Linked DNA regions of Schizosaccharomyces pombe. The gene in region 1 interacts genetically with each later gene. Each region holds a gene or a part of one and is shown in the gene's direction. Other genes may lie near its edges.

The links.
Region 2: mutations in uri1 (region 1) and cwf15 together harm fitness less than expected from each alone (positive genetic interaction), as found in Schizosaccharomyces pombe (one large-scale study listed by BioGRID).
Region 3: mutations in uri1 (region 1) and laf1 together harm fitness less than expected from each alone (positive genetic interaction), as found in Schizosaccharomyces pombe (one large-scale study listed by BioGRID).
Region 4: mutations in uri1 (region 1) and dad4 together harm fitness more than expected from each alone (negative genetic interaction), as found in Schizosaccharomyces pombe (one large-scale study listed by BioGRID).

What each region holds. Positions count from the first base shown.
Region 1 is NC_003421.2:324,331-330,879, reverse strand, and holds uri1 (prefoldin-like protein), read left to right. Parts: upstream 1-3,785; coding exon 3,786-3,933; intron 3,934-4,007; coding exon 4,008-5,959; 3' UTR 5,960-6,012; downstream 6,013-6,549. Other genes in the region: tfx1 (translin family protein), read left to right, coding at 436-1,131; DNA-binding transcription factor, CBF1/Su(H)/LAG-1 family Cbf11, read right to left, coding at 1,419-3,178, 3,257-3,338; dar2 (aspartate--tRNA (Asp) ligase), read right to left, coding at 6,013-6,549.
Region 2 is NC_003423.3:1,038,424-1,043,832, reverse strand, and holds cwf15 (protein Cwf15), read left to right. Parts: upstream 1-1,803; 5' UTR 1,804-1,859; coding exon 1,860-1,874; exon of another isoform or gene 1,875-1,933; coding exon 1,934-2,716; 3' UTR 2,717-2,845; downstream 2,846-5,409. Other genes in the region: ecm14 (carboxypeptidase), read left to right, coding at 1-785, 827-932, 982-1,110, 1,152-1,399, 1,440-1,538; chaperonin-containing T-complex theta subunit Cct8, read left to right, coding at 3,255-3,377, 3,431-3,470, 3,523-3,644, 3,931-5,286. UniProt on the Schizosaccharomyces pombe protein: Involved in pre-mRNA splicing.
Region 3 is NC_003424.3:5,248,676-5,254,640, reverse strand, and holds laf1 (clr6 L-associated factor 1 Laf1), read left to right. Parts: upstream 1-2,406; 5' UTR 2,407-2,606; coding exon 2,607-3,500; 3' UTR 3,501-4,121; downstream 4,122-5,965. Other genes in the region: RFC-like checkpoint protein Rad17, read right to left, coding at 1-868, 926-1,029, 1,073-1,283; vtc2 (polyphosphate synthetase), read right to left, coding at 4,474-5,965. UniProt on the Schizosaccharomyces pombe protein: Component of the RPD3C(L) histone deacetylase complex (HDAC) responsible for the deacetylation of lysine residues on the N-terminal part of the core histones (H2A, H2B, H3 and H4).
Region 4 is NC_003423.3:4,002,499-4,008,100, reverse strand, and holds dad4 (DASH complex subunit Dad4), read left to right. Parts: upstream 1-1,718; 5' UTR 1,719-1,766; coding exon 1,767-1,871; intron 1,872-1,899; exon of another isoform or gene 1,900-1,930; coding exon 1,931-2,044; 3' UTR 2,045-2,072; coding exon of another isoform or gene 2,073-2,160; 3' UTR 2,161-2,235; coding exon of another isoform or gene 2,236-2,297; 3' UTR 2,298-2,461; coding exon of another isoform or gene 2,462-2,713; 3' UTR 2,714-2,818; coding exon of another isoform or gene 2,819-2,929; 3' UTR 2,930-2,975; downstream 2,976-5,602. Other genes in the region: cleavage and polyadenylation specificity factor complex subunit Ctf1, read left to right, coding at 74-104, 147-1,096, 1,134-1,244; SNARE protein Vti1, read right to left, coding at 2,073-2,160, 2,236-2,297, 2,462-2,713, 2,819-2,929, 2,976-3,081, 3,119-3,144; ESCRT II complex subunit Vps36, read right to left, coding at 3,386-4,789; mnh1 (protein mago nashi), read left to right, coding at 5,448-5,473, 5,520-5,557.

The sequences.
Region 1 (6,549 bases):
TGGAAATGACAAAAAACTTGGGTAGTTATTTTCAGAATTGTTCAAGCAAAGCTCAAATTTCTTTCTTTATATATTTATTATTTTCACATGTTCAAGATTTTATTGTCAGAAGCAAATGGCTTTAGTCCACAGTAAATTTAAATAACCAAAAAAATTCATTATTCCTATTAACCGATCTTTATTAACAATATTTTCTCTTCATTCCATACATGGTCGATTGTCCTGCTGCAGCTCAAATCACTATTTCAATTTCATAGCACAGAGCCAACTAACCTTACTCAATGATCCACTAAACAATATTTCGTCTCTTAAACAACAAATAGTCATCTTGATTTGCATTTAATTCAATTGATAATATAGACTTATACATTTATACCTTCCACACGGCTTTGCTGAATTGAGGATATTATAAAACTTTAACCGAATTTGCCAAATATGGAAGAGGAATTCCTCTCATTTAAAAATTTTTTACAGGAGGATCAAGATAAGAGGGAGAAAATTATTCGTCTTTCTCGTGAAATCACAATTCAAAGTAAACGAATGATCTTTCTTTTACATCAAACATCCTCTTCTGATGGATTTCCTCTACCCAAGGATTTCGACAGAACATCCATTTTTGAAAAAAAAATTCACAAAGAACTAGAAAGTCTGAAGAGAGAGTTGGCTGGATTAAATGCAGACAAGTTCTCTTCTGCTTGTACACACGGCCTTCAAGAGTATGTTGAAGCTGTCACTTTCAAATTCTGGTTACAAACAGGTACGTTACTTTCTTGTAAAGATAGTAGCTTTAGAATTTCTATTAATTTCATCGACTATGTACTCGGTGTTTGTGACATGACTGGTGAAATAATGAGATTCCTTGTAACCAACGGCTCTAAGTTCTCTGTCCAACAACTCACTCAGCAAGTTAAATTTCTTCGTGGACTACACAAAAACTGCTCAGAAATTGAACACTTACCATCTAAGGTCAAGTCAGAATTACAGCAGAAATTATCAGTAATGGAGAACAGCATTTCAAAAGTTGAAGGAATTTGCTATAGTAAAATTTTAAGAGAAGCAGATAAAAGATATTTAAATTTGGAAGTGGATACAGCAACTCCTCCCGAGGAGAAACGATTACGGTCCACATAATATATGATCGACAGCTCTCGACAGACACCTTACTAGTTTATTAAAAGTTTTTCTGTTTTGCAGCTTTTGAAAATCATAATTATTAAGTACATATTTTCGACGATTCAATTATCTTATCAAAAGCTTCCGCTGCTTTCTATATGTTAGAGTTTCCATAAGCTAGGATGTTTGTACAATATAAAGTTCATTTAATAAGAGAGATTTCAACCTAATTCCATCATTTTGAAAACAAATTGTATTTCAATATTTCGCCATATGAAACCACACGTAAAATTAATCATGATGCATCAGTTTCCAAAAGCACTTGACGTTAGCAAAATCTCGCATTTTCCAATAATGACAATCCCACCTGGAATCACGAACAACAAAGGATACTTTTGTTCTGCACAAGAAGGATCATATGAAATTTGCGACAGACCTAGAGTGACCGTACCCATTGTACTCGTATCAGCAGCTGCGGTAAAACTATACGACAATGGTCCATGAACACCTAGCCAAATTTGTAATCCGACCGAATAGCCTCCAATTTTAAATTGTAATGAGCGCGAGCTCTCCAAATATTCGGGTGGCTCTTCAATATATGGATAATCAGTAACCGTTGGTACAGGATTTTGATTGAATGGTAACATCATCGTACAGTCAAAATGTGATATGCCCACTATAGTCCAGCATACAGAATCTCCAACTCGAGTCATTTCATTTGAACTCAAGTTTCCAACAGCTTCCCATTCTATGGGCAATATAGCCTCACTAGATGCATTTCTGTTTTGTGCCGACGTGGCCCCAAGAAACCAACGGACTGAAATATTATTGGAATATGCCAGTGAACTATGCTCAGCGATCTTAAGATGCCGTACGTTTGATATGGGATATGCGCTTTCTAATACAATTCTATGCATTTGATTAACGTAACCGTCCTCCTCAGCAATGTGGTCTTTTTCTACTCGTCGAATAATTAAAGGGTCACTCGTCGTTCCTGTTGCTTCATCGACCAATTCAACGATGGAGCCATATTTAATGGGTTCTGGGTTATCGACATCGTCGCATACCTTCAGTTTACCATTTTCATCTGGTAATAGCAGGTTAATACGCAATGGCACCCATCTATCACCGCGAAGACAAAACTGACCAGCCTCAATCGATGTATACTTTGTACGTACAGTTTGTGAATTAATCCGGTTATAAAGGCTGACGACTGAACCGGATCGCAACGTAATATTACTAATTTTTAGTTTGCTTCCTTTTTTCGAAGGTTTGGAGACAATACTAATAGAAGAAGTAACCAAATGAGATAACAATTGGTTATTTACATTCGAGAACATGTCCAGAGAAAGCCGTAAGTTTTTAGATTTCGCAGCGACCAAACTCGATATATGCAGTGACCGAAAAATCATACATCCTTGGCCAGTGTATTCTTCGCTGATGGGTTGCGAACATTGCCCAAAATCATTCATTATTGATATCTCAGTGCGAAAAGACTGATTGAATATAGAAGAGTAATTCCCATTAATATAAACCATAGGGGGTGGACATAGGTAACGTTTCTCTGACCCATAAGACTTTTGTATGACAGAGGAATGTCGACACGAAACTGTTACCAGCTGACTAGGTTTCCCTGAACGTGTAAGTGAAATTTTGTGCACACTGTCCTCATTCAAATTAGCAATGCCAATACAACAATTGTTCAGTAAATCCAAATGATCTGATATGGCTCTTCGGATCATCTCTACAGAACTGTCTTCATCAAAGGTTTTTCTTTTTCTATTAAACCCAGGAGGAGAAGGAGCAGGAATTATGTTTTGGGCCAGCTCGTCCAACGAATTAGACGCCTTTGCTACAGCAGGAAAAATTGACTGTTCATCCTTAACTACAGAAGGGAATTCCTCTGATTTTTCCAAAGTAGCCAAAGCTGAGTTTACAGCACTGAAGAGAGACAAAACCTGCATGGAAACACTTCCAGGACTCCCGCTTCCAACTCTTTCAGAATTTTCATTCCTTCCTCCAGCTCCATCCTCCTGATTATGCAAACCATTATTTATGTTGTCCACTAGAAAAATCCGTTAGCTATTTTACGCTTGGGATGTTCAGAATGATTTATAACTCAACCATCATTGCTAGCGCTTACAGTTCAACTGATTTAAATTTAAGGAGCCAGAAGTATTACTCCCAGAGATATTTGCAAAATCCCAGGCAAAATAGTCCCCCATTAATGTTCAAATTATGTTTTATACTTGCTTAAACTGTTGGACCTATAGGATTAAGACATGCATTTGCTTTTACTTAAATTATTTTCAGTGAGAAAATATTAAAATTTAAAGTAAGGGACCAAATTACTAGATGCTTAGGACATTTGCAGTATGGCGCTTTCTACGTACATTAGGGTCAGGTCGGTGGCTTCCTACTCAGTTTGAGCCATTTCCATTAACATCGATTTTTCGATATTATATTAGTTACCCTGTTATTTAAATACTAAAAGTATTTAAAATTTATTAGAATTACTTATTATCTCGTTTTTAAAGTGAATATTAGCTTGCCCGAATAAGCTGTATATGCCTTTTTCCGGAATAACCACGAAACGATCGTTGGCGTGAGATTATTTTGAATTAGAAATTCTTCAATAACTCTATTTAAGATCCTTTAAAACAACTTATCGAATGAACGACGAAAGACTAGTAGCCATCAATTTTGAACAGCAAATCTTCTCTAAGATTAGCGAAATTTCTGAATCAGTCGGTAGGGCGATCCGTTACTGTAAGGAAGATGGAAAAGTTGAAGGATGTGAAACAGCATCCCATGTGGATTGTACGTTACTTTTTCTTATAAATTGAGTGATAATGTTTGCTTCATCAAACGACTAATTGCTAATGAAAATCCAGTCTTAAATCATATTCATTTACTTTTGGGAAATTACAATAATGACTTAGCATCTTCAATTGAAAAGAAGAAATCCGAGTTGATAGTAAGAAACTCAGAAGGGTTACCTGTTATGGATATTCATGAAGAAGTTGATAAAGATGGAAATATTATAAGTGCTTCTGTTGCTCCACAAAGAATTTCATCTGTAATAGATTATGCGGATGTCTTTCGATCCCTTCCTGGTTTCAAAAATATTGAAAATGGGGGGAACCGTGATACATCTTCGAGAATTGAAGAGCTATCTGAAGAAGAAATTAACGATTCTACGAAAAATATTAACTACAAAGCTCCAGAAATGGGCTCATTACCTTCTAATACTGAATTTACTTCAACTCCAACACTTGGTGTCTCAGAATTTCCCAGCAAACATGGTGATCATTCAGACAGTAAAACATATGAGAGTCCTATTAGTAATAGTCAGGCTGCTTCATTGAGTGATTCAGATATGGTTCAACAAATTAAAAATGGTAGCAAGACTTCTTTGTTTAAAAAGGGTTTTCTTTTCAAAAAAAATAATGCAATGCAAAACAGAACTACTTCAAATATAAAGTCAAACGCTTCTGCTATTGAAAAAAATAAAGAAACGATATTGAATGCTCTCAATAACTCTACTTTAAATGAAAATGGACATCAAGATACCCAAAATGAAGTTTTACGAGACATTGTGTTAGAGCATCCGACAGCGAAGGCCCAAGATACTGGGGAATCTAATAAAGATAATAACACTAGCACGTCTAAACATAAAAAACGACCTAAGCGTCTTTCAAAATTTAAACAAGCTAAGCTAGAAACAAAAAAATCTGGCAACAAAGATCATGCTACATCTAGTGAAAAGCTTTCACTAGGAAATGAATCTATTCATTCTATAAACGAAACTAGAAGTAGTAGTATAGAAGAACCAGATAATGCCGACAATAAAATTGTCGAAGAAGAACCGATGTTACTACCAGTTCCGACGACTGCGCAAGGACAAAATGTTTTGGAAGCAGTACAATACGACGGTTTAGACTCTTTAGAAGATATGGAGGCTCTCATTCAGGAAATGGAGGAGGAAGGCGAATTAGATGATAATTCTGAGTCTGAGGAAGATGAACATGGTATGACGATAGGATTTTCCAAGGAACTGAAAGCTCCACCGGATCCTCAATATTTTACAGAAAAGACTGGTGCTACAACTTATGTCAATGGTAATGACGAGAGCCTAAATGTCAGTGACTTTCCACAAATCGTTGAACAAGAAGAGCTTTCGTCAAAAAATCCTCGAAAGGTACATTTTTCAGACACGCTGGAAATTAAACACGTCAGTCGGAGTGGAAAGGCGAATATTGAAGTTATACCTGCTCCAACTGAAGAATACGATAATCTTTTTGGACCAGACGATTTTCAGAGTCGTATTTCAGCGTTTCGTAAAGCAAGGAGCAAATTGCGCGCAAAGGAAAACGAAGAGGGCAACCATTCTAATGCCACATGTACAATCAAGAACGATGATTTGAGTAACACATTAAATAATCGGGCTGCGAATACAAAGTTAAATCCAAAAGAAGAAGACAAATCTACTGTAGAATCCGAGCTTAAAGCACCGCCTAAAGAAAAAAGCTCGGAAACTTCCAAGGAATATTTAAATGAACCATCTGTAGTAAAAGATTTTGTAGTTGAACGAACTCCATCTGACAAAATTAGCGAGTCTAAAGAAGCATTCGATGCGAAAGTCGAGGAAATTAGTGATCAACGAGCTATATCACAACGTTACTACGAACTGAGAAAAAAAATGATAGATAATACAGGTGAATATATTAAGGATGAAGAAGAACAGGCAGTTATACCTTTGGATGAGAATGGAAATGAAAAACCTAAAATGAGCCGATTTATGACCGCGAGGTTGCGTGGTCGTGTTCCCATTTATGAGCATTAGATTAAAATTTTGTATAAAAAAAATTAAATGATTAATGTTTTTGCTTAAGTTATCTAATTACGGTTTTGAGTTTGTCGCGTAATAGCAACGTTGTAGTCTTTCAACATCTCTTCTGGAATAGCAGACGGGCTGCCAATTAAAAGATCAGCACCCGAAGAGGTTTTCGGAAAAGCAATGACCTCGCGAATTCCTGGAGCATTCGTCAACAGCGCAGCCAGCCTGTCAAAACCCAATGCAATTCCACCATGCGGTGGACAGCCACTAGACAATACGCGTATTAAATGCTCAAATGTAGCATACCTATTCTCTGGTAATTTAAGCACGTCTTTAAGCACAAATCTTTGAATATCTGGATTGTGTATGCGAATACTGCCACCCCCTAATTCAATACCATTCACGACTATATCATAATGAAGTCCACGAACAGAAAGAGGCTTTTTTTCCAGTAAATGTACATCATCCCAATGAGGAGCAGTAAATGGGTGATGTGTAGATGTAATAGATTGATTTTTCTCTTCGGTTGGTGAGAAAAGAGGAAAATCCACGACCCAAACGAATTTTAATAAATCCTTGTCCAGCTCTGGTAAAGC
Region 2 (5,409 bases), on another chromosome or scaffold:
GATCTTGGATGACCAGTTACGTTGGGTTTAATGGCGAGACTGCGGCCATATCAGAAGAACAGTTAATTTGGGCCGAAAAAATTCCTGATTATAACGAAGAAATAGTAGTCCGTTTGCATTTGGAAGAAGAAAATAATTTGAGCGATATCTTGCAGAAAGCTCAAAGTCAAAACCTTGATATTTGGGACTACAATTTCGATCATGTGGATTTACGTTTAAAAGAAGAAAATTTTGATTTTTGGAAGAGTCAATATCGTAGTGACATACTTATAAACAATCTGACAGAGACCTTATTTGAAAGCATTGTTCCAGATACTACGAATTCCCCTTTTTCCACAGAAGCTTTCCTTCAAGCCGTTGAAAATGGTCATTTAAATCACGAAATGTTTACTTCCTTTACGGATATTTTTTTCAAGTCATATCAGAATTTAGAATCGATTAATTCCTGGTTGAGGTTGATGGCGTCCCTTTACAAAGATTTAAGTGAACTAGTTCCAGTTGGAATTACAGCGGAAGGTCGAACGATTTTAGGCCTAAAATTGAACGGTCGACATCCTTCCGACAACGGGGAAAAGATTCGTAACAAGAAAGTGATTATTATTCAAGGAGGATCTCATGCTCGTGAGTGGATAGGTATTCCATCTGTTTGCTATGCCGCATGGCAATTGTTGGCAAAATATGATTCCGATGGTCATGTCCGAAAGCTTTTGGATAAATTTGAATGGATTTTTATTCCAGTTTTAAACGTTGATGGTTATGAATATACATGGTCAAACGATAGACTGGTAAGTGGTTTGTAATGAAGCATATACTAATTATTTGTCAGTGGTCAAAAAACAGACAGCCTCTTAATAATTCCGAGTGTTTTGGCATAAATCTCGATGCGAATTGGGCATTTGGCTTCAACGGTAATATTGATCCTTGCAGCAACGGTAAGCGAACTATTTTTTTTGATGACTTATTACAACTAACAAACTCAAGAATATGGAGGATTATCACCTTTTCAGGCTAACGAAACTATGGCCTTGTTCAATCTGATAACTGAATCCTTGTCGCAAGAGCAGAAAAAGGTCGTTGGATTTCTTGATGTGCATTCGTATTCACAATCTGGTATGTTTCGACAGTCTATTTTCATTTACTAATTAAGTTAGTTTTGTGGCCTTATGCATATACCTGCGACTTGTTTCCTCCTGATACTGAGAATTTTGAGGAATTAGCAATTGGCTTAGTTAAAGAGTTGCATCGCGTAAATAGTAGATACTACACATATCAACAAGCATGTATACCGTATGATGGATTTCATAAACATTACCTACCTGGAACTGCCATTGACTGGGTTTATTTTGCTGCTGATGTAGCATGGCCTTTCAATATTCGATTACGAGACATGGGTGATTATGTAAGTTGATATCTCTAAAATTTTTTACTAATTAAACAAGGGATATTTATTACCTGCTAAACAGATTGTCCCCACAGCTAAGGAATTTTTTGCGATGATTCTTTACTATGGAGAGTTTATCGCTGAGTATGCATTTTAGTCCAAGAAAGATCAATAATTATTCGCTTATCTGTTGGCAATTTTGCCAAATTTAATTATAGTAATTATTAATTTATGAAAATAAATACCTTCCTTCCAGGTGGTTCAATTGATGCGTTATTTACCTGTCTTAACAATAAATCCAGTTCTATCAATTAACGTTTTTTAGAACGTTATAAGAATTTAAGAGTGAATACTTACTAAAGTAGTGAATCATGATTACTTTGCAAGAGTAAATATTAAGATTTTTTGGTGTAATCGTATTTGCACTCCACCAACATAGTCTCAATAATAACAGTTGTGAATTGCATATTTTTTCAATATGACGACTGCACATGTATGCTCAATTTACATATATATCCTCTATTTTATAATTTAAAACTAACTCATGTTTAGAGACCCCAATTTGATCCAGCTAGGGGGCATTCAGAAATGGCCCCTACTAGGATAACGTCTAGTCGCGCATTACCAGCTCATTTAAAACTAAAATATAGACAAGAATCTCAAGGAACTGAGGAAGAGGTCAGAAAACAGGATTTACGAGAGGCATTGTTACGTGCAGAGGCTGCACATTTTGCAACTCAAGAACATGGTGCCTCTTCTGAAGAAGTAAGCCAGAATTCAAAACTCATAGAAGGTTTCACTTCCCCTTCAACGGACGATAAACCCAATAACGATGTTGAGGTTGATTATCAAGAGCTGTTACGGCAGACTTTGGAGGCGGACGAGGATGCTAGCGATAGCGACGACAGTGTGGATAGTTCAAATAAAAATTCTGAGGTATCAATTAAAAGAAGAAAAACAGAATCAAATTCTCAAGAATCCGTTGACTCATCAAATTCAGAAAGTTCGGACGAAGAGTCCGATTCAGAAGATGAGACACAACAGCTACTTCGAGAGTTGGAAAATATAAAACAAGAAAGAAAACGAGAGCAAATGCTTCAGGAAGAGAAAAACAGAGCACTGGAGCAAGAAAAAAGGGAACGGGAAATAGCTTTTGGAAATGAGCTTTTGAATAAAGCTTCTTCAGGGTCTTTTCAAGTTAAGCGTCGATGGGACGAAGACGTTGTTTTTAGGAATACACATAAAGGGGTTGATGACACACCTCGGCCTGGATTTGTTAATGATATGTTGAGAAGCGAGTTTCACAAGAAGTTCTTGGCAAGATTTGTTGATTAAATCACCTGTGGGTTTGCTGTCTTCTTTTCTTTCCACAAAACAAAATTTCTTCATTCTACTGCTATCATACAAGGCAATTTTTAAGAATGTTACTTATAAATGAGATGATAATGTTTAATTGATAACTTGCTTCTTTTTTTGTTTTAATACTGGCTGTACTGAGTTTAGTAGTTACAATTGTTGGTATATTAAGTTTACAAAATTTATAATTGCAAAGCCTTTATTTGAGTGATGCATATCTTATTTATTCTCTCACCAAATCTGCGTTAACGGAAGGGGTTACTGAAAAGTTTACTATAATTTAATGTAAATATTTTATCATTTTTAAAAAAGACAACTACTATAACTTTTTGTACGAAGGAAACATTTGAGAAATACTATATATATACTTTTGAAGTCGTTTGCTTTTACTTTTGAAATCACTAATTTATTTAACATAATGCAAGGATGGTTGCTCAATACCGAAATATAGTTTTACTACTGTACTGGCTAATCACCACTTGACTTTTACCAAGACATAAAGGCTTTCGTAAACAAAATGGCTTTGCGAGTTCCAAAGGCCTCTGGGCCTCAACTGTTTCGCGAAGGATATCGGATTATGCAGGGCGTAGAGGATGCAGTAATCCGTAATTGTAATGCTATTCGTGAACTTTCAGAAATCGTAAGGACCTATAATTTATTAAGCAAGTTTCATTCATTTACTGATACTTTTAGACCCGTACCTCTTTGGGTCCAAATGGAAAAAATAAAATTGGTATGTTGACTCAAACAGTTATTTCATTTCTTATTCTCTAACACACACATAGTTGTCAATCATCTGCAACAGACGTTTTTGACGAATGATGCTGCGACCATTATACGTGAATTGGAGGTTATTCATCCTGCTGCTAAACTAGTTGTCGATGCTACCCAACAACAGGAGAATGAGGTAAGTTAATTCATTAACTGTACAATTTTTTTTGAGATACACTTGTTTGAACATTAAATAAGCGGATTTTTTTTCTTTGCGGACTTTATTTTAAGCTTCCTTTACCTTTTGATCCACTCATGTGCCTTACAAAAGGGCATTTTAGAAAGCACTTTGATTACCCTTTTATCAACGTTTTCATGTTTTATATAACTCTATCGTATTGACGCTTACTTTGTTTATTTATACTTCAAATATTTGTACATTGATTTGCTCTTAAAACCATTTTCTGTTTACTAACCATTAGCTTGGTGATGCTGCAAATTTTGTGGTTGTATTTACAGGTGAACTTTTAGCCAAGGCTGAAAACATGATTCGCATGGGTCTCACTCCCTTGGAAATTGCTAAAGGATACGAAATGGCTTTATCACACACTATGGAGGTTTTGGAGGAAATTTGTGCTGATAAAATTGAGACTGTTGAAAGTGAGAAGGAGCTTATTAAAGCAATTCGAACTTGTATATCTTCTAAGCAATATGGAAATGAAGATTTCCTTTCGGATTTAGTTGCTAAAGCGATCCTCACAGTTCTTCCCAAAGATCCATCCAAGTTTAACGTTGACAATATCCGTGTGGTTAAAATTATGGGAAGTAGCCTTTATAACTCTCAGGTTGTAAAGGGCATGGTATTTCCTAGAGAGCCAGAGGGCACCGTTACACGTTCAAAAGAAGCTAAAGTTGCTGTTTTTTCATGCCCTTTGGATATTTCTCAAACCGAAACAAAAGGCACAGTATTGTTGCATAATGCTCAAGAAATGCTTGACTTTTCTAAAGGAGAGGAGAACCTTATTGAGTCTCACATTAAAGAAATTTACGATGCTGGTGTTAGGGTAGTTGTCACTAGTGGCAATGTCAATGACTTAGTTTTACATTATTTGAATAGATTTGAAATCCTTGTTATTCGTGTGCCAAGCAAATTTGAATTACGTCGCTTATGTCGGGTGGTTGGCGCTACCCCGTTGGCTCGTATGGGTGTTCCCATGCCTGAAGAGATGGGATCCGTCGATGTTGTTGAGACGATTGAGATTGGTGGTGATCGTGTCACTGTATTCCGTCAAGTTGAGGATATTACACGTACTGCAACAATCGTGCTTCGAGGGGCTACTAAGACATACTTGGATGATTTGGAAAGAGCGATTGATGATGGTGTAAATATCGTAAAAGCTTTGGTCAAAGATAACCGTTTAATCTTTGGTGCTGGAGCTAGTGATATGCAACTCTGTATTCGTCTAATTTCAGTTGGTGAAAAAACTCCTGGTATATATCAACATGCAATCAAACAGTATGGAGAAGCATTTGAGGTTGTTCCTAGGACTATTTCAGAAAACGCTGGATTAGATCCTACTGATGTTATTAGCAAACTTTATGCTGCCCATCATAAGGAAAACGGTGAATCAATTGGAGTTGATGTTGAATGTGAAAATGATGGAACATTAGATGCGAAAGAAGCTGGTATATTTGATGTTTTATTAGCAAAAAAATCAGCAATTAGATTAGCAACTGAAACTGTACTCACTGTTTTAAACGTTGATCAAGTTGTTATGTCTAAACCAGCTGGAGGTCCAAAACCACCTGGCCCCAACCCTCATTGGGATGATGATTAAAATTTAAGTGAGTTTCATTTTTCTACTAGGATTGGATTAAAACGATGAATAGTTTTTGTAAAAATCTGCTACTAATTTTCTATTGAAATTAAAAGCGCGTTATCAAAATAATTAGGTACAGAC
Region 3 (5,965 bases), on another chromosome or scaffold:
CGTCCTTCTTGAAAAACGAATTCTCATTTTTATCGGATTTTGGGATATACGCACTTTTATAATTTTTAAATCTTGCGTAGGCCTCCGAATCGCTTTTTGACAATCGTTCAAGAACCTGCGCAGCTTCTAAGCTAAAATCATTCCCCTTTCCTTTCCCCTCTTTTACTTCTCTAATATTTTTTGTTCCTTTCTTTTCAAAAGATTGAGAGATCGATAATTGTAAGGAATTTATCGCACTCCTCAAATCCCCTTCGCTGGCAGAACAAATATTCTCCACCAAACTCAACAACTTTGGAGACTTGGGAACACCCTCTTTACGTAGAATAGAGCCAAGGCATTTTTTCATGTATGTCGGCGCAATAGGATTAAACTGTAAAACTGTTACACGTGGATCCTGAAGTAGATCATTACCCATTATCTGCACGCTATTAAAGGAATTTCGATCTTGACTATTAATACCTTCCAAGTTGTTTAACTGTATTTCTGTAAGAACCATGATGATGGAAAAGGCGCCTCGCGATGTCAATGCGGTGCGAATGACATTACGAAAAGCATCAAGAGAGCCATTGAATTTAGAAAGGTGAGGAATTTCATCCAAAAAAATAAACTTTTTCTTTCCTTGTGCATTTTTTCCACGCTTTTGAATATTATTTGAATCCATAAGCTCTAACTCTGGATAAGTTTCGCATAAAGACATAAATCTACTAAACTTTTCCGTGAGCGAAAGTGTATCTGATTCTTGGTTTGAAGGCTCTTTTAGGTTCATAGGGTTTAGCCATTCTATGAGACTATAACCTAATTCTTTAGCCAAGACCTGAACTGCGGTACTCTTTCCACAACCAGAAGGACCACAGATCAAAAGTAACCTCTATGATTTTGTTAGCCAAGAAATATTTTTGAGAGAATTAGGGGAGATTTAACATACACTTTCTAAAGAATCCGTTAACATCCATTGCTTAATTGCACTTATTTTGCTTTTATGCACGGCAAGATCAGCCGCTTTTTGAGGAATGTATTTTTCAAACCAAACTATGCGCACCGTTAATTTTTGAACCTTTTTAAATTTTCTTACGTTGAAATCGATCTTCTTTTAAATTATTGAGATGAACAATTTTGTTTTCTTCATCAGAAAAGGCTTCAATATCTTCTTCATGAATATCGGTTATCGAAGCATTTTTGTCGCGTGAAGTTTTTGAAACTAGAGAAGGTTTTTCAATCTTTCTTATTTTCTTCTTTTTTAATGATCTCTTTGTAGATTCATGAAACGACAACTGTCGCCTCATGCCAGATATATGTTTTATTCAACAAAGAAATAGGAAGCTAAAGGTAGAGACTTTGTAAATCATTAGATAAAATATATATTAATAGTTCACAAAATTTTAACAGCACAAAAAAACGAGTGAATTGATTAATTTACTGCTGACAAGTAAATGTGTGAACTAGTGAAAATATACAAGTACTGTATATGGAAGAGAATAAGTGAGTAGGTTTCTTAAGTACTCTGAAACTGCTTCCTATAAAGAAGAGTAAAAAAGACATGTGTATAATTTATTTATAAATCATTTATTTGTACATTTCTCTTATTGTAAGATATATTGCGAAAGTATTTATTACAAATTTACTTTTTTTTCTCATACTGTAAACAATGATCATCAATAAAAAAGTTAGCTTTTTAATTAATGAACATCTGAACGATAAAGAATGAATAAATAAACAAGTAAAATAGTGATATATTTCAATTGAGAAATTACTCTAATGGACACAGAAATGTATTTCTCTTCATTTATAAAATCAAACAATTGGCATTTTCAATTATGTCGTATATGAGTGCATTAGGAACTAGCAGCTGGAAAGGCAAAGCTGTAAATATTAAGAATATAGTAATGAGTATATTTAACCTTGATTTGGATTGCGACATTACACTGGAAACCAAAGGAGGAATTGTTTCATTAGAAGCAGTCTAATAATCCAATGTTGCTGCATCAAAACTCCCTATTTTGTTGATAAACATAGTTAGCCGAGCTCTAACTCTTTAAGAACCGATATGAACTCCATTGGGAAATGAGCAAGAATAGAAATCAACCAACACTACAGAAAGTTCATACCCATACATCTAATGTGGTACTTTTAATCCCCTATCCATCAGTATTTCGCTTGGCTTAATTATATTTGATGGGATGTATTTCCTTTTTGGAATTGATTTTTCGCATAATACTGGAAACAGAAACCCTTGTGAGCAAAGAAAAACTTGGGAAACCCACTTGATTAATATGGCAAATAATTTTTTTCTTCAAAATGGCATTTATTTTCCATTTTGTATTTACCATTCAAGTAACATGTTTTTTTGACAACCTAACCCTACCTACCGGTTTCGACATGTGTTCCATCCATCCTTGGGATTTTACTAACACCAACAATCGTTTGGCATAAGGTGAAACTTGGAATTGCTGTTGGCTGTAAATTTCATCTAAAGTCGGTCGCTCTTTTGACTTTTGCATAAAAGAATTGTACATAAAAACAACAATTTGGAGTAATTTCAGAGTCTACTTGATTTAATTGAAAAGGTTATCGACAGCTTGCTCGACTTTATCAAGGAAAAAGGTAAGATGAAATCGAGTCAAACGCTTGTTTATTCGATCCCTAGAAATGTGGAGAAGGACACATGTGCGGCAGCCATTAAGGCATATCAGTACCTAATATCTCCGCCGCCTTCTCCCATTCCAAATGACAAAGTTGCAAGTACTGTTGATGTACCTAAGTGTTCTACAATACCTGAATCTCCAAAAGATTCTATTGTGGAACCAAAGCCGACAGCAACACCTGTTGCGCAACTGCATTCCAAGGTTTACGATCTGTACCGAGATTCACCTAAAATTTGGCTTCGCCGAGAAAGGCAATGGCTTCAGCGTCATTCTCCAGCATACAGGTTTTCGACTCCAGCTGCCAAACGTCCAAGAAGGCAACCCAGCTCGTTTCTGGATGTGCACGCTTCTAATACCCGTAAAAGAGGTTCTCCTGATACGCCGGACTCGGGACATTCAACTCCGCATTCAAAAGGAGATGTTCATCCTGGAATGCCTCAACATAATACGCGTTTCAAGCAGTCCAGTAGGGAGTTTTCCTCCAACACCCAGGCCATTGATGTCGCCAATACACCATATGAGCTATTGCCTGATTATTCTCCTGATATGTCTGTTTTGGATAAACGTTCTCATCCTCGCCCCCTTCGTAGCGAATGGAAGGGCCCTCCCCTTGATCTTTCCAATGATGAGAATAGACACCTTTTACATCCTGCTGAGCTACAGTTGGCTGCAACACTTCGATTGCCTTGTCTCGTTTATCTTGACAATAAGCGTAGAATCTTTGCTGAGTGGCACAATCGCCGTACTCAAGGCCTAAGCTTTAGGAAAACAGATGCTCAACGTGCTAGTCGTGTCGATGTGAACAAAGCTAGTCGTCTTTGGAAAGCTTTTCACGATGAAGGTTTCTTTGACGACTAATTCGCGAATCGTTCATAATCCTGCTGGCCTTTCAAAAAATAGATTTTTTCTCTCTTTTTCTCTTTTGGCGGGTTAGGGAAATAATCAAATTTAAAAATTTCGAAAAACCACGGATTTCATTTTCGTTGGATTATTTATTTTTTTCTAGGTGTTTTGAATTTTTTGTTTACAATCATTTGCATCTCGGTAAAACCTTTCTTTTTTTTTTTGGATATTTCGTCTTGAAGTCGGTGTCCATCGTTTTATCTGGCCAATAACCAGTAGTATATACCTCAAGTCCCTCTTTTCTTCCTTCGTTCACTTTTTGTTTTTTTATCCTCCCAAAGATGAAAAGCATCATGTAGTCAGCATTTGTATTAAAAAATTCATTAATACAGATGTGAAATAACTCTCTTTTAAAAACGTTCGTTTCTCCTATTTACAGTAGATATTGTTATTTTTATACCTAATAACCGATAACCATCAGTTCCCTAATCAGACGGATTTTAGGGGTTTTTAGTTATTTTACTCTACTCAATTAGATCCAATGCTTAGCGGATAATTAATAATTGATTATTTATTCTTTGCTATTAAATTAATTAAACCATAGAAATTATAATGGATGTCCGACGTTAATATCCCAGTATTAATATACCCCAGTGTTGTAATGTAATGAATATATGGTCAAATCCAGCTTTTCTTAATCCTTGCAAAAAAAGTAAATCGACACGTAAAAACTTGCAATACCCGTGCAAATTTTAGTAAAAACCGATAACATATATCCCCAAACCAATTAACCAATATAATAACCCAAGAGCCCTGCTCTAAATGAAGTTTTCAATCTTATTGCAATTTTCAACTTCACATTGCATCTAAATCAAGAATTTACTGAAATGTTATCTTCTAGCTTTCTAAAAATTTATTGCATTTAAATAGTAAATCCAACGTGTAATAAAAGTTGGAAAAATCCCATGTTGAATGATATCGAAACTTCTCAAGTAAACAATTTAACAAGCAAACGATCAGGTTCAATGAGATTTTGATAAACAGCATCCTTAAGTGCAAATGACATGTTGACAATAAGAGAAATAGCCAAAGCTGTTCCTACAATCAATGGGCCCCAATAATCAGTCATTGGCGCAGGACTGCGGGACTTGATCATTTGAGAACGCTTGGCATGAAGCTTCCAAGCATAGAACCCAATGAAAATAGCTAAAAGAGTATAAACTACTCCAAAAGCCTGACCAAGTCTTTCTCCAGCACTATTATATAATGCAAGAGCAAGAGAACCAAGCAAGACCACGACATGAAGCCACTTCAAAAACGTACGCTCATTTGCAAGCCAAACTTTGGCCTCAACCTTAATCGGACCACTGACTCTAAGCGGAATCTCTGGTTTCTTGATATGGGGTGGAGTAACAAACGTTTTACCATGATGCTTAAACGATCCATAAGTAGATGGCTTCAGCAAACCAGGTATGCTTCTGAAGTTGAAATGGTCTCCGTGCTCATTTCGATACACCTCTCTATTATCTTCGGGCTCTTCTGAAACAGGGTGCATTTCATTGGCCTTTAAACGATTGACCAAAGGTGAGGGTTGACTAGGTTCGGGTGTCATATTCTGCTTTAAAACTCTTTGATTCCTACGTTTAATGTAAACATTTCGAGAGCCCGCAGATCCCTCGGGATGGGAGTACACCTCTTGAAGATCTTTTCGAATATCTTGATCCATTGAAAATACCCACATTGGTAAAAGAGATACGTATTTTTCAAAAAGAATTGCAACACCATGCTCATATTTCGAAAAACCATCAATTTCAGAAATTAAATGAGAATTACGCAATTCAGAGATCCAAAGAGGTTCGTCTTCATCATATCTAACACATTCACGGATTTCTAGGACACTATAAGGGAAACGAGAATACTCTCCTTTTCTTAAGTGCTTATATGGGAAATCAGCATCGTCAATATCGTGACGATGCCAATCTTCGGGGTCTCTACAAGGACGTTCGATGTCCAAAGAGTCTTCACGAATCATAACCCAGTCTGAGTCAAGATTGATACGAACCTCATCATCGCCTGGAATCTGAAATGCGGTACGAGTGTAAACAGAACGGAGAACAGGCTGCAAGTGATTGTCAACGATTAGCTGTTCAACATCTTCAATTAGTTTCTTCTTCTGATCAGAAGCAGTTGTCGAGTGATCATCCTCAACCTTCCTAAAATCATATCTCCCACTTAGAAGCTCTCTAACCTTCTTCTCGCGGATAGTGAACCGGTCTTCACTATGTGAAAGAGTACTTCCTTGACGTACCATTCGTTCAACGATAATATCGGTTTTGGGAGTTAACTTTCCATACCAATGAAGTCGCAAAGAATAAGCCTGTTCTGATCGTTCCAAATTTTGAGAATATAAATCAAAGTTGGAATTATCTAAATACAAGCAAGTTGATATAGGATCCAAAATTCCAGATACACCATTTTGG
Region 4 (5,602 bases), on another chromosome or scaffold:
TGATTTAAGTAGTAGTAGTAGTAGTAGCAGTACGTTGGTTGAATGGGCAAAACCGAAAGACGCGACTACCAGCATGTCGATGACAGCCGGGAATGTCGTATTTGGTAATAATTCTTTAAATATTCGGTTTTGCTAATCTAATTTAGTTGGTAACATTCCATATGATGTTTCGGAACAGCAAATGACTGAAATCTTTAATCAAGTTGGACCAGTAAAGACTTTCAAACTTGTACTTGATCCGGAAACAGGTAGTGGGAAGGGTTATGGGTTTTGTGAGTTTTTTGATAGTGAGACTACCGCTATGGCTGTACGAAAGTTAAATAATTCCGAATTAGGACCTCGTAAGATTCGTGTCGAGTTTCCATCAAATGATCCCAGAAGGAATCAAAGTTATGAATATACGGAGCGTACTGATAGATACATGGAACAGCAAAATGCTCATGAAAGTTCTTATAATTCCCGTTTTATTCCTCCTGTTTTGCATTCAACATCTTCCCTGCCTGCTTCACAAGGAGGTGGGATGCCAAGTCCTGCTATTTATTCGTCGTCAATGGCTACTAATCTTAATAAAAATATAAATTCTACTTCTGTTCCTGCTTATAATTTTCACAACAGTATGACCTCCGACTTTGATTCTGCCAGTCAACCCCATACAGATGCATACAATGCAAGAACCTTTCAGTATAATAAATCTTCACAAAACAAAGGGGATTACACTTCCGGGACTTCTATATCGAATCCGACTTCTATCCCATTGGCCCCGTCTGTCGTTCAGGTACTATCTACCTTCTCAGCTCAGGAACTTCTCAATATGTTGTCCAAACTTCAGACTGTAGTTCATATAGCACCAGAAGAGGCACGACGACTTCTAATTGCTAATCCTGCTTTACCATACGCCGCCTTTCAAGCTATGTTGCTGATGAACTTAGTTGACGCAAATGTCTTACAACAAGTAGTAGTCGCAGTGAAGAATAAAAACATGCATCAACCAGCTTCAGCAACTTCCTCTCCTCCTTCTGTTCCCCAAAAAATACCTTCTAGTAACCATAAAAGTCAACAAGCGAATGGTTCAGATCAGGGCAATGAAGGGAAGCGGGTACGTTTTTTTTTTTTTTTTTGCACTAACAAAACAGATGGCCCTCATACAACAATTGTTGGCTCTTACCCCAGAGCAAATTAACGCATTACCTCCTGCACAAAGGGATCAAATTCTTAGCATTCGTCGGCAGCATTTTCGACAGTAAGTCTAATTTTAGTAATATCAAGAGATTAAATATTAGCATTTGACCAAGTACTTAAATTTGGTGTGCAAGATAATTTATTTACAACACTATAAACCATATCCTAGCACTGATACCTTTTCATACTACACACTTCTTTATACTATTCGGATGTTTTGCTTCTCATAAATATTTGTTTCTATACGCGTTATGGAGGGCTATTTCTTGGATCCTTTATTCAATATCCTTTTATAAAAATTTACTCAATCAATATTTCATATTAAAATTTATTATTTTTTATATTTTAAACTGCCCTTTTGATCGTAAATATATTATAAAAATGTAGGTGGTAACATCAACTGATACTTCTCAAATAAATATGCAACTCATAAATTCCCAAAAAGTTCAATTTCTTAAAAAAAATTTAGATCACAGGTTTAAAATTGTAGTTCAATTTTTCCAACTACGAAGTGTCAGCACTGGCTCATGCAAGCTTCCAAGTACAGACTACATAATTACAGTTTAGGAAATTGAAAACCATCGAAAATGAATAATCCTATGGAAGAACAGCAAAGCGCATTATTAGGAAGGATCATAAGTAATGTAGAAAAGCTGAATGAAAGTATTACAAGACTCAATCATTCATTACAGGTAAGATTACGACGTCAAATATTTGTGTACATATCAACTTTCCGCTGACATTCTTAAAGCTAATTAATATGTCTAATATGAATGTTGAGCTAGCTAGTCAAATGTGGGCGAATTATGCAAGAAACGTAAAATTCCACTTGGAAGAGACCCATACGCTTAAAGATCCCATCTAAAGTTATATGATGTTCTTTAATATTTGTGCTAACGAAATTTGCTATAAAGCACAAGCAAAATTAATATAACAAGGATTGCAATTATTGCTGTCGTGAAAAATCTGTTCATGGCAAGTCTTTAAAATGAGTTAGTATAAAAGATCATTACATGACGATTCATATCACTATAATAATGTCTATCTGTGTCCTACCTTCTTGCCATTGTCTTCAGAGTTCTTAAACTTCGATCAAGGTGTCCAGACGTATCTCCAAGCTAATTTGGTTAACAAATCTCAAAGAAATTTATACATAGCATAAAAGAAAACTATATTTTTAAACCATGGAGCTAATAAGCTTGGCTAAGATATGCGTATAAATCGCGCATTTTATCTTATCAATCATAGTGATTCATTTATCTATTTTGCAATAATTACTTACCATCTCTAAAGAATGCTCCAATTGATTTCTTTGACCATGAAGATCACGAAGAATGCTAGCACCAATGCCTTCAGTCTCATTCGCAATCCGTTGTGATTCAAGAAGACGCTGTGAAGATTGCTCAAGTCTATTTGTTCCTTGTAACAAACGAGTTCTTTGGTCATAATCTTGATCACTTGCAATATAATCACCGGATGTTTCATCCCTATTTCCAAAAAGGGCTTTCCTATCTGATTTGCCAATTTCTTCCTTCTAAACGAGAAAATTGTTAGTATGAATTTGGTAAATAAAAGTAGATTGTCTCATAGTAATTTCTGTAAAGCTTCAAAAGAAGAATGTTCGATATAGCTAACTTACCAGGTGTCTACGCCACTCCTCCAAAGTTGAACGATAACTACGAATTCTTCCATTTACGAGACCTCTTTCAGAAGTAGGGATACCGGTAATTTCAATTTCCATTTGACCAATCTGCAAGTTAGCCACTTTTTTAAAAACACAAATTATTCCAACATACTACTTCATCAATTTCATTTAAAAGTCTCTGACATGATTGAATAACAGAGTTCTCACCACTTTTACTTAAATCATTAAGTTTTTCTTCGATATCTGCTCGAAGCAAGCTAATTATTAGTAAACTTGTAATGGTATTAGACATACCGATATTCTTGCTCGTACGTCTCCATATTTAACAATTATTAATATTGATATATTAGATTTCTTGAAACTATCGTGTAAACAGTTTCTCAAATGAATTAAAAATAAAATAGGTGTAGGTTAAGATTAAATGGTTACGTTGGGAATCGAATACCCATAACAGGTAGTCATATTAATTAAGGCGTGTGTAGAGAGGAATCTACTAAAGCGAAAGAAAAATACAATGTTAAAAGGAATGAATATTAATTAGATAGTGTACAGTTATTATTCCTATGATTCATCAAACCATTTAGTCAATTCTTCTGATAATTCGTCAAATTCGTTTTTCCAGTATAGTAAGCTAGAACCAGATTCTTCATAAACATCACGTACAATGTAACCGTCCATCTCAGCTTGATAAAGTCTTTCTAACGTTACACCAATGGACCAATGCAACCTCATTGCACATTTCAAAGCCGTAGTGCTAGGATTCATAACTTCCAATATAGCGGACAAAAGTTTTCCTGAATGATTAGAAGTTTTTAATTGAAAAAGGATAAGCCCAGAGTTCATTTTGGACGTTGTTATACCAACCTCCATGGAATCTATTAGTTCACAAGCCTTCACAAATCTGGTCGGAGGAATCAGGTTTGCTTTTCTTGACCGATTATAGATGGCCCAAGCCTGGGTCATGGTAACCGTATCGGTATCAGCTTTTAACCTTGTGCGTAAAACTTCTGAGATACTTTTACATAGTTCAATATCATACAATCGAGAATTAGCCGAAACAGGAACATTATCTAAATGATTTCCTCGTAACACTCCTAACTGATTCGATTTGTTTAAAAGCTGCTGTACCTTGTCAGACTGTTGAGTGCCGGTCAGCCCATCCATCTTTTCAGCAAATTGGTCAGCCAGAGACATAGTATCTTTCGCTAAAGAAAAAAAAGCATCTAAATCTTGAAACGCATGTACTAAGGTACGTCCATTTTTGGCTAATTGCATCTCATGAGATTGCTCAAGATCATGAATACCACCCATTCGCAAAGACTTTTCAAGGATGGCCTTCCTCAGAACTTTAGTATCATATTTATTCGAGTATCTTTGTTTTTCTATTTCATCTGTTTCAGATTTGATAGCTTCGTAAAACTTGGATGAACCCGAGCCTCTAAACGAGAGTTGTATAAGCTGGTTTCTATCGACATTTTTTAATTGATTGCCGCAAATTTCACAAGTATTCAGATCCGGATAATTTTGAAAAGTACACGCGGTGCATAATCCTTGAGAAAAACGCGCATCTGATTTCGGCTTTATAATAGTAAATCGGTTAGCAACTCCACAGTTTCTACAAGGATTAATGGGATCACCCACATTGATAAATGTACAAATTTTGCAAGCCCATGACTTTTCCACATGTCGCAGAGAAAGGCGAATTTTTGGGGAGGAGCGAAAATACCTAGAGGTATGCTGTACATCTCTTATATCGGAGATTTTAATTTTTAATGAATTCTTTTTAGGATCTACTGAATCTACGTAGAAGATGTGTTTTTTTGTCAAATATAATGTTCCATTATTATGACGAAAACTTTTCTCATCTCCGAAGTATAAACCTACCTGGTCTTGAACTAGCAAAATTTCTTCTGAAGGATCCAAAACCGGTAGATTAGAAGGGGTTGTTTCTAAATAAAAGGCCATATTAGAAGGAGAGATTAACCAAAATGATAATTGTCAAGTGAATTAAAACTTATATAACATGTCATGTGCCTTGGTTAACTAGTCGAGACCAACAATTGATTTGAGATAATCTGTGAGTACGACTTTCGCTTTATTTAGCTACCTTTAAAAAAAATATTTTTGGATGACAGCTGTGAATGTCGATATATAAATAACATAAATGAAGCCTGTCAAAAGCTCGATTTAATATGTTACAATAAAAAAATCAAACCGTAGTCTTAATAAAAAACAACCCAAGGATCACAAACTAGCGATAAAAGATGCAACAGTGCCAGAATAACTTTTGTAAATGCAGTGAAATAAGTCGTGGAACGTTAAAAGGTCCCAGAAAAATAACTTGTCAAGATTTAACCTGAATTTGGAAAAAGCCTTTAAGGAATTAAAAGACTTTGATTTACAGATATAGACTTAGCAGTCAATATATAATGTCAACGAATTCATCAAAGATACACTGTATATTGAATTACCCACGAACTTTGATTGTCGAGCTCCAAAAATTGGATGCACTAGTGTATTGTGTTATTTAAAATAGTGAATCACTATATGCTTCGTATCTTTGACCAAGAGTTTACCTCTCAGCAGTAGTCATCGAAGCCATCATATTCCTATTTGCTCGAAAATGAGTGATTTTTATGTTCGATACTAGTATGCAAAAAAGCTGTAAATAGTTTTGAATGCTAACTGACTGAAGCTCGGGACACCATGGTCGATTCGGACACGAGTTCTTGGGTACGCGATAATATTAGACGCAAGGTCGCGCAGCTAACCAAACAT